3 linked regions of the Sus scrofa genome follow. The protein of the gene in region 2 purifies or fractionates together with the protein of the main gene of each other region. This does not show direct contact. Links are inferred from orthologs where the notes say so. Each region holds a gene or a part of one and is shown on either strand. Other genes may lie near its edges.

Region 1 (3,500 bases), on a different chromosome or scaffold from region 2:
TATTCTCAAATTATTTTACAGGCTCTTAAAGACATGTTAGAACCCGCACAGTATACATTACACCATTTTTACCTAAACATCGTAAATTATGTGCATTTTCTTCTTCCTTTTTTTGGTTTGGCGAATATGTCAATAGCAGATGCTTAGGAGGGGAGGGGATAGACAGCCACATTCGCAGAAGAGTGGTCACTGCTGATGGTATATTTTCATTGGGACTCGCTTTGCACAAGCTGGACTCTAGAATAGATTTGCTGCCTGTTTGTTGTGACCTCTTAATTTTTCAGTTTCGTAATTTAAATTAGTATTACTAATGCTTCTGAGAAACCCATCAGCGAAACAGATAAGCCTACTAAGCTAAAACATTTTGTTTACTCTGAGAAGTCCAGCCTTTTAAGGAAAAAAGTTTACTTCCCCAATTACTAATGGGGTAAGGACCTATAATTTTCAAAAGTTGAATATCTGTTTTCTGGTCCCATGTAATTTAAGGTCACTTGTAATTTGGTACCTTATTTGCCTAAGGAAAAGAATATCCTGAAGTGTGTTGGTATTTTCCAGGTTTTTTCTTCCTTTTTTTTTTTTTCCGATTTTTAGGGCCGAATCGTGGCATATGGAAGTTCCCAGGCTGGGGGTCAAATTGGAGCAGCAGCTGCCAGCCTACACCAGAGCTGCAGCCACGCCAGATCTGAGCCGTGTCTGTGGCCTACACCACAGCTCACGGCAATGCTGGATCCTTGACCCACCAAGCAAGGCCAGGGATCAAACCAGCATCCTCACCGATACTAGTCGGGTTCATTAACCGCTGAGCCATGACAGGAACTCCTATTTTCCAGTTTTTTGTGAATTTTGTTCTTGCTTTGTCACCCTAAGTGTAAAACCGCACATCCAAAATCACTTATTTTTTTTTTATATAAGGCTCTACAGTTAATGGCATACTGTTATACACGTGATCTCACTTTATCATCACCACAAATTATTATCATTCCCAAAAATATGTTTTAAAAATCACATAAAATGGGTGTGAATTCGGACTCCATAGAGAGATAATAATAGAAACCTAAATCATACTGACATAAGGAGTTAAAGGAAGGAATTAATTTGTTTATATAAGTGTAGAATTCAGGGGTAGAATTTGGCTTGAGGCATGGCTGGATATAGGGGCTCAGACTTTATTATCAGAACCTGCCTTTCCTCTCTGTTCCCCTCCTCCATCTCTTACTTCTGTTTTCTGGTGTGTTGGCCCCATTCTCGGGCAGATTTCCTCCTTGTACTGGTAGAGGTGGCTACAAGAGGCACTTCCTCGCAGTTCAGAAATTCTCATGGACAATGGGTATCTTTTCTAACAGCTGTAGCACACGTCCCCAGAGGACTGTGGTTGCCCTACCCTAGCTCGAGTCACTGCCTATTCCTAACCTGGTCACTAGCCAAGAGTTCCGAATATTCTCTGAGGCCAGTCCAAGTGTGTGTGCACCTGATGGCAGAGGACAAGGTTAGCCGCACCCTGTCCACGGACTGAACTAGATTGTTACAGAAGGAGGGGAGAGGTCCCCATAAAGGATAGAAACGTGTCCACCTTAGACAGGGCTTTCTAATGTCAAAAGCTTTCTTGCTTTCTCAAAGGGGATTGTCGACCCTCCTTTTACCAAACAAGAGAAGATGAAGCATTTGCTTTATGTGAGGTGTGTACCTTCCATGGTATAATTTTTTGCCCATTACTTCACGCTTCCTGTTCTCTGACGTTATAAAAATTGTTTCTTGAAATTGTTATTTTTTTTCATTAATTAATTCAAAAAACACACTAATGCCTACAGTGTCTAAAGCTCTAGTCAGTAAGCGCTGGAGTTCCTGTTGTGGTGCAGTGGTTAACGAGTCTCACTAGGAACCAGGAGGTTTCGGGTTTGATCCCTGGCCTTGCTCAGTGGGTTAAGGATCCAGCGTTGCCATAAGCTGTAGTGTAGGTCGCAGGCGCAGCTCAGATCCCGCGTTGCTGTGGCTCTGACGTAGGCTGGTGGCTACAGCTCCGATTCAACCTCTAGCCTGGGAACCTCCATATGCCGAGGGAGCGGCCCTAGAAAAGGCAAAAAGACAAAAAAAAGGAAAATTAAAGATTAGACGAAAACGTGGCCTATGCATACAATATGTAGAAAATATAAATACACAATACAGTCCCTGCTGAGAGTCATTTTATTTAAAATGCAGTGAGAAAAAAACATTTGTTTAATTAAAAAAATGCGGTGAGGATTCAACTGGAGTAGGGATTATTCCAGCTCTCTAGTATCCTAGGTGATTTCGTTGTTGCTTTTCCTGACCTCGATATAATACCTCTATTTACAGAGGATATGTATATATATATATATATATATATATAGTCAGAAACCAGCGCAAGAAATGTAAAACAATATAAGATGCACAGGCATGCGCTTTGATGACAACATGCTAACAAGATAGGAAGGTATTTTGCAGTAGTAAGTAAAATACAGTTGTGGTGCTTTTATAAAGCCCCTAAAATTGAAAATTCTAATCTTCCTTTTTTATGTTCCCTAAATAGGATAGCTAGGGCAGTTGAACCCACTTTCTTTTTTACTTTTTATCTTATTTTTTGGCCACACTGCAGCAAGCAGGAGTTCCTGGGCCAGAGATAGAGCCCACACCACAGCAGTGACAGTGCCAGATCCTTAACCCACTGAGCCACCATGGAACTCCTCACCCACTTTCTTGCCATAGTCTGCCTACTGCTGCAAAGTAAATTTTAAATTTTAGGGAGTTTCCTAGTGGGCTAGTGGTTAAGGATCTGGTATTGTCACTGTTGTGGCCTGGGATGATCCCTGACCCAGGAACTTCCACATGCCATGGGCACAGCAAAAATAATAAATAGTTAACCAGTGCTTGATTATACAGGCACTCAGAGTTTATTCCCATCAGTTGCCTGAATGCAGGGAGGCTTATCACCCTGTGGGGAGAAAATCAGCTATTCCTCCAAACCCCTCTGGCAGAACTACCTAGTCTCCTGAGAAAAGAGGTTAGAGAGAGAGAGAGAGAAGGGGGAAAAGGAAAGGCATCCTCTGTTCTGATCACACGGACTCCCACCCTGACAGTGATCCCTCGGCAGGTATGGTTATTCCCCACCCCCGCCCCCCTGCTGATTCTTTTTCTTTTCATTCTTCTCACTTGTGTACTGCACTGTGCAGGGAGACTTTGTTTGGGACTTTGAGCAGTAGAATGTCTGTGTTTGCCACAAGCTTCCTCAGTGTGATTTTCTTCCCCTCAATTTCTTCTCATCACTTATCGTTTCTGGACTCCACTGCTCTCTGTTTTTGAAATTCCTGTGAGTTTTCACTAAAGAGACTTCTTCTAAATATGACCTTAATAAAGATTTCCCAAAGATCGTTTTCCTGCTGTGAACAGCCTGATCCAGCGGATCAACCTTAGGAAGCGGCGAGACTCCCTCATCCTGGGGGGTGTTGTTGGCATCTGTACCATCCTATTGCTGCTCTATGCTTTCC
Region 2 (3,500 bases):
AATCCACACCTTGGACACATGGAAGTTCCTGGATCCAGGGACTGAATCCGAGCTGCATCTGTGGCCTACACTGCAGCTGCTGCCTATGCTGCAGCTGGGGCAACCCCAGATCTTTTAACCCACTTCGTGGGGCTGGGGATCAAACCCACAACTCTGTAGTGACCCAAGCCACTGCAGCTGGATTTTTAACCCACTATGCCAGATGTCACCTTCCTGATAGGGTCTACCACAACTATCCTCTTTTTTTTGTTTTTTTGTCTTTTTTGTTAGGGCCCTACTCGCGGCACATGGAGGTTCCCAGGCTAGAGGTCGACTCAGAACTGTAGCTGCAGGCCTATGCCACAGCCACAGCAATGCCAGATCCAAGCTGTGTTTGTGACCTATACCACAGCTTACAGCAATGCAGGATCCTTAACCCACTGAGCAAGGCCAGGGATCGAACCTGCATCAGATTCATTCCCACTAAGCCACAACAGGAGCTCCAATCCTCTTTAAATATACAACTTGCCCCTCCATGCCTATTAGTTTACCCCACTCTACTTTTATTTATGGATTTATCACTGGACAAAAATATATTCTGGACTATTTATTATGTGAATTTTTAACTATCTATCTCCCCTACTATGATGTAAGTTCCACAGAGGCAGGTTTGTCTCTTTTGACCTTGGCTGTACCCTCCGTAACTCACTGAATGAACACCAAGTGCCAAAAAAGAGGCACAGATACTCTCAGGCAGTAGCAGCGGAGGCCACAGGAGCAGAAACGTCTTCCGTGGGTGGGCTCTGCCTCCCTCCCTCCGGTCTCCCCCTGTACCTCTCTGTTCCCGTTCACTGCTTTCTAGCTGTGCTAGCCTTCTTGATCCTTTAATACAGCAGGACTGTGCCGCTGGAGGGCTTTGCTCTAGCTGTCTGCGCTGCCTAGAATACTCTTTGCCCCTCTCTTTTTTTTGGCGTTTTAGGGCCGCACCCACAGCACATGGAAGGTCCCAGGCGCAGGGCCAAATCAGAGCTGTAGCTGCTGGCCTACACCACAACCACAACAATGCAGGATCAAAGCCACATCTGCAACCTGCACCACAGCTCACAGCAATGCCAGAGCCTTAACCCACTGAGTGACGTCAGGGATCGGACCTGTGTTGTCATGGATACTAGTCAGGTTCTTTTCCACTGAGCCACGATGGGAACACCTCTTTCCCTCTCCCTTGCATGGCTGGATCCCTCCTGCTGTTCATGCCTCTCCTTAAATGTCGAGTCGAGTCTTCAGAGCAGCCTTCCCTGCCACCCTATCTGACATACCTCCGCCGACACTTTCTCAACACCTCGTCCTACTTTCTCGGTATAGCCCTTTATCACTACCCGAAAATTTCTTTAAATTCTTTTTTTTTGCTGACTCCACTGCATGAGGAAGTTCCCAGGCCAGGGATCAAACCTGTGCCACAAGAGAACTCCTTGTCAATTCTCTTTAATAGCTCTCCTCACCCACCTTGGTAAATTCTGTATGAAGACAACAAAGTAAGCCTCACGAAACAGATGTAACTGTCTGTTCATCCCCACATCCCCAGCACCTAGCACAGGGCCTGGTGGGAAACAGGTGCTCAGTCAACACTTGTCGAGTGAACAGAGGGAGGTGAACTGACCCTGGGGGTGGACAGGGTTCACCCTCTCTTCCAAAGGGCATCAAGCTGCCCCTGGGGACCTTTAGGATGCCAACCCCCGAGGGTTAAAGAGAGGAAGAGTCTCACCTCTGAATGGTTTCTTCCTGTTCCTTAACCATGTGTGCCAACTGCTGGAAGATGGAGCCAAGCTCCACAATTGTGGACTCAATGTTCTGCATGGTGTCTGCCCGGGTCTGGATGTAGGAGTCCTTCAGAGGGAGAGAGTGCACATGAGCCCTGGGAGCTTCCTCAGGGCGGGGCCTGCCTCTTGAGGGCCCTCCCTCTTGCCATTCCACCCACGGCACATTCCAAACGCTTGCTTGTGGCCCACGGAGGAAACCAGAGGAGCTACTCCTCCCCCGCTCAGAGCCTGGGTACCTGCTCATCAATGAGCTGCAGCTGCTGGCTGGTCCTAGAATCCATCATGTCAATGGCCACGTCCCCAGAGGCTCGGGACTCTGCCCCCAAAACCACAGCACCGCCCCCTGGGGGAAGAAAGAAGACACGGCACTCCTTAGTGGTTAAAAGGTTCAAAGCCCACATGCTCTGGATTTGAATCCCAGCTCCGGCAATTACTAGCCTTGTGACCCTGGACGTCTCTGAGACTCAGTTTCCTCAGCTATAAAACGGGGGATAATAATAGCTGCTTTCTCAAAGGGTGGTTGCCAAAATTAGATGATGGAATGTAAATAAAATGAACAGGTGCACAACAAATACTAGAAACTGTTGGAGTTCCCATCGTGGTGCAGCAGAAACGAATCCGACTAAGAACCATGAGGTTGAGGGTTCGATCCCTGGCCTTGCTCAGTGGGTTAAGGATCTGGTGTTGCCATGAGCTGTGATGTAGGTCACAGACATGGCTCAGATCTGGCGTTGCTGTGGCTGTGGTGTAGGTCACAGATATGGCGTGGATCCCACGTTTCTGTGACTGTGGCCTAGGCCAGCAGCTGTAGCTCCAACTGGACCCCTAGCCTGGGAACTTCCATATGCCAAGGGTACAGCCCTAAAAAGCAAAGAAAATAAAAATAAAAATAAAAAATACTAGAAACTGTCATTCTTGGAGTCCTATCGTGGCTCAGTGGGTTATGAACCCAACTAGTACCCGTGAGGATGCAGGTTCAATCCCTGGCCTCGCTCAGTGGGTTAAGGATCTGACGTTGCCATGAGCTGTGGTGTAGGTCACACACTCGGTTCAGATCCCACGGGGCTGTGGCTGTGGCGTAGGCTGGTGGCTGCAGCTCTTACTCCGTCCCTAGCCTGAGAACTTCCAGATGCCGTAGGTGTGGCCCTCAAAGAAAAAAAAAAAGAGAGAAACGGTCATCCTTCTGAACTTGACTTCTCACCCCAACGGTGAGAATGAATGTGGGAGACCAGGTGTGGACTGCACATCCCACCCTCAGCTTTGGCCTCTGAGAGATCAAGCCGAGCACCGTCCTTGGCCCTCCTTTCTCCTACCCAACGCCTGCCTTAGAGGGTACCCTCAGAGCCGGAGTAACGGCGCCTTACCCCCAAGGCTCCCTGCGCTGCCTGTGACTTACCGAGGTGGTTGGGCGCGAGGGGCAGGGCTGACACGGGTGCCCGGGAGAACTGCTCCCGCCGGCTCCTCTGCTGCTTCAGGTTCTGGGGTTGGGGAGGAAGGGGAAGCGCCTGAGGCCTCTGGAAGGCCGGCGTGTTAAAGAGACCCCGCCTGCGGCCCGTGACCACCCCGCCCTTCCCTTCCACTTGTCCCTTTCCTGTTTCCCTCGGGGACCCTCATCCCCAGACTCCTAGCCCCCTACACAGCTCCTTCTCACCTCTGTCCTCACTTCCAAAACTGATTTGAAGTCATTGGACATGGAGGCCAGCT
Region 3 (3,600 bases), on a different chromosome or scaffold from region 2:
ATTTTAGCCCAGTCTAGCTTGTGTCTATCTGGCTATTTTTCTATGTGCTTAGTTAACAATTAAAAGAAGATAATGACATTACAAATGTCCTTATAGGAAAAAAAACTTTCAAAAAAATCTTTTTTTTTTTTTTTTTTTTTTTTTGCTTTTTTTTTCTTTAGGGCCACACCTGTGGCATATGGAAGTTCCCAGGCTAGGTGTCGAATCAGAGCTGCAGCTGCTGGCCTCTGCCACAGCCACAGCAATGCAGGATCCGAGCCATGTCTTTGACCTACACCACAGCTCACAGCAACGCTAGATCCTTAACCCACTGAGAGAGGCTAGGGTTTAAACCCTCATCCTCATGGATATTAGTTGGGTTTGAAACCCACTGAGCCACAATGGGAAAGCCCTAAAATCTTAATTTAGTAGATGTTGATAGTTTTCTAGCACCTGCGATTGTATTTTCATTATAATACAGCTTTCCTATGTCTATTGACATATAATTTCTGATAGTTTATCTCCATAATAATAATCAGTAGTAACTGTGTAGAAAGTCTTAGAAACTTGGTAGCAGTCACCACTGAGATATAGTTTAATATGTGTCTGGTTCATTGAATTTTCTGGTTACTGCATCTTTTATCTTACATGAATTATCTTTTGTCAAAATGTGAGAGAATCTTATTTAGAACATTAAGAGATAATGAAGATGGTTATTTTCAGCTAACATTTATCAGATGTTTACCATATTCAAGCATTATGCTCACTTTACAGGCATTCTCATATATCTATAATCCTATGTTATTACATAACCCCTATTTTATAGAGAAAGAAGCTGGGTCTTAGGCTGAGTTGATCAGTGTCACTTGACTGGTGCAATTGAGATTTGAACCAGAGTCTGAGGCCAGAGACTGCATTCCTAACCATCTCACTATACAGCCTCAAGAATTTGAACATAAGTTGATCTGATAATTTTAAAATGCATTGTAGATTTTACAGTGCTTCAGGATCATGAGTTAATCAGTACATGTAACCTTACTCTTAAAATAAAAGTGATAATTTAAGCTTCATGGTAGTTTGAAATAGTGCCATTCATTCTGGTTGTTTTTATGTCTTAATACATTTGATAAAATACTTGAGACTCATTAATGTTTTCCTTTTTTTTTATCTGTGACAGCATTGGATTCGAAGGCTAACAATTTGTCCAGTCTGTCAAAGAAATACCGCCAGGATGCGAAGTACTTGAACATGCGTTCCACTTACGCCAAACTTGCAGCAGTAGCTGTATTTTTCATCATGTTAATAGTGTATGTGCGATTCTGGTGGCTGTGAAGTAGTGAATCCCGTCATTGTCAGAGGAGAACCTAGAACCTGGCAGGTGTATGTTTTCAGGAAGCTGAGCTCACAGAGATGTGTATTAGAATTCAAGTGGAACTTCTGCCTCTAAAGACCTTGCAAGAAAAGACATGTCCTGAAAATGAAAGATTACACCTCATTTAATGAAGCTTAACCCTATGTAGAAAGTCTCTTGGGGGCAGAGGCTTTCTCTGGGTGCTAAGCCATATATGTTAGGGAACAGTAGGTTGTTTTATTTTGTTTTTTCCCCTCCCAGTGTTTTATATTTTAGATCAGCACTCACTGGGGCATTCTCATTCTCTAATGGAGCCGTCAGTGAGATTTGGCTTAACCAACCTGTGCTAGCAACAGTTTGAAATCCCTTCAGAGAAGGCAACCCTTTGGAAAGTTTTTTGACCATCTAATCAACATTCCTTTTGTTGGTGACATTTGTTATTTTCAGGAATCTGAGTTGTTGATGGCCTTTTAAACAAGACTCCAGTATGTGAAGGTTAATTGCTGTGCTGCAAGAGATCCTATCTGTTGGCCCCTGTAGAAAGTTAGCCTTTGTTATTTTCCCTTTATAATATTTTGCTTATTGTACAATTGCTCTTAGGGTTAAATGAATTATATTAAGATGCCTGAAATTATATTATAGCACTCCTTGATTAAGAAGCTAACATGTTTTCTGTCATTTACTCCTCAAAAGACTTAAAATTAGTTTGGGACATTCTTAATTTTATTTTTATGCATCTGGTTTATATTAATATATGAGTGAGTACAGCATATGGATAGTCAGAGACCCCTGACTTAGTGAAAAGCAAGGCCAGCTCATAACTACAGCTTTGTCCTGCCCCTTTCTCACTTTCTCCACTATGGTTTTCCTCTCTTTCTCTTGCCAGAATTTTCTAACATTTTAAAAATTCCTCTGTGTCCAGTAGTTTCAAGTCCATTAAGTATCTTCTCAGGATATTCTCAAATTTCAAAATAGAAAATGTTCAGCTGTGTAGTTAATTAAATTTAAATTTTTCTGGAACAACTGCTCAAACTATTAAATACATTTATCAAGTCTGAGAGCACTTCATACCTGCTTCAGTTATGGAAATTCTCTGAGAATGTTCTAGAGATAGGTAACTGATATCACAGTAGCTTCTAATAACAAACAAATACTTATGATTTTTCCCTTTTTTGCTCAGGGATGATGAGGATTTCCTCTTACCTTCTGAGGTAGAATTTTCTAAATGGGGAAAACAGGCCTTTTAAATACTGTCACAAGGCTCTACAGTATAACCTATAACTCCTATACACACTGCAAATATTTCTTTAAATTGTACAGGTACATGAGCCACCTTCTTACTTCTTAAAATCTTTGGAAAGACCTTTAACCAGTAAGCAATTTTATAACTCAGGATCATCAAAGCTACTGTTCTGATTCCTGATAGAGAAAAACATCCTATTTCCTTATAACAAGGCAAGGAGAAATGCTTATTTTATTCCTGATAATTTACAGAACTAGAATAAAGTTTTTTTCTTTCCATTTTGGACTTAAGTCTGCCAATTGGACTTTTGTGCATGAAATAAGTTACTTTTTATAGAGAATAAGTGCTTTTAAGTTCCTAAAAGGCTTGTCCCTAAGTAATGATGTTGGTAATAAAAGCCTTTGAAAGGCTGAAAACCTAAGTAGCATTTGGTACTTCTGTAGGAGTGGAGAATGGCAGCTTGTTGTTGAGAGTTGCATACTGCAGCCAAGTGGTCAGCAATGAAATAAATACTTCTAGAATGTTCCCTTCAGTGTGAAGTTTTGTTATCTAGTTAATTTACGTGCATGTATTTAGGTACATTTCTACCTAAACTCAGGTTTAATTTAAAAATGAGATGGGAGGAATGATAAACAAAGGGATAAGAAAGTAGTTTAAGATTATGATGGTAGAAAATGAGAAAACAAGTCTCATGATATGGCTCCTACTTCTATTCTTTATTAGAGAGAGTGGGAAGACCTGAGCAGATGAAATGTATCAGCAACTGAATAGGCATCTAAAATAGAATGTTAGAAAGTGCTATTCAGATTTATCAGGGGTGCATTAAGAAAGGACACCTAATTTACTGGGAAGGAGTATGGTAAGAGAAGGAGAATGGGTATTCTAGAAAGAGTCAATGGCTTGTACAAAGTCAGGAGTTAAAAGAGTGAGGCACATTTGGGGGGTTGTAATTAACTTGGTTCAACTTAATTCATAGTGTAGGCAACTGAGACTTGAGGAAGAACTAGATGGGTACACTGTCATGCAG

What was found. Proteins that work in one complex are often made in the same cells at the same time.
Region 1: the proteins of STX5 (region 2) and GOSR1 purify together in Homo sapiens (affinity purification with western blotting; 3 studies listed by BioGRID, with this or other methods). This does not show direct contact. The link is inferred for Sus scrofa from reciprocal best matches to the Homo sapiens genes STX5 and GOSR1.
Region 3: the proteins of STX5 (region 2) and vesicle-trafficking protein SEC22b purify together in Homo sapiens (co-immunoprecipitation; 4 studies listed by BioGRID and IntAct, counting the BioPlex papers as one, with this or other methods). This does not show direct contact. The link is inferred for Sus scrofa from reciprocal best matches to the Homo sapiens genes STX5 and SEC22B.

The regions. Positions count from the first base shown.
Region 1 is NC_010454.4:46,589,624-46,593,123, forward strand, and holds part of GOSR1 (Golgi SNAP receptor complex member 1), read left to right. Parts: intron 1-3,380; coding exon 3,381-3,500. UniProt on the Homo sapiens protein: Involved in transport from the ER to the Golgi apparatus as well as in intra-Golgi transport. It belongs to a super-family of proteins called t-SNAREs or soluble NSF (N-ethylmaleimide-sensitive factor) attachment protein receptor.
Region 2 is NC_010444.4:8,947,786-8,951,285, reverse strand, and holds part of STX5 (syntaxin-5), read right to left. Parts: coding exon 3,448-3,500; intron 3,275-3,447; coding exon 3,193-3,274; intron 2,140-3,192; coding exon 2,033-2,139; intron 1,864-2,032; coding exon 1,742-1,863; intron 1-1,741. UniProt on the Homo sapiens protein: Mediates endoplasmic reticulum to Golgi transport.
Region 3 is NC_010446.5:100,897,843-100,901,442, forward strand, and holds the end of vesicle-trafficking protein SEC22b, read left to right. Parts: intron 1-1,156; coding exon 1,157-1,311; 3' UTR 1,312-3,100; downstream 3,101-3,600. UniProt on the Homo sapiens protein: SNARE involved in targeting and fusion of ER-derived transport vesicles with the Golgi complex as well as Golgi-derived retrograde transport vesicles with the ER.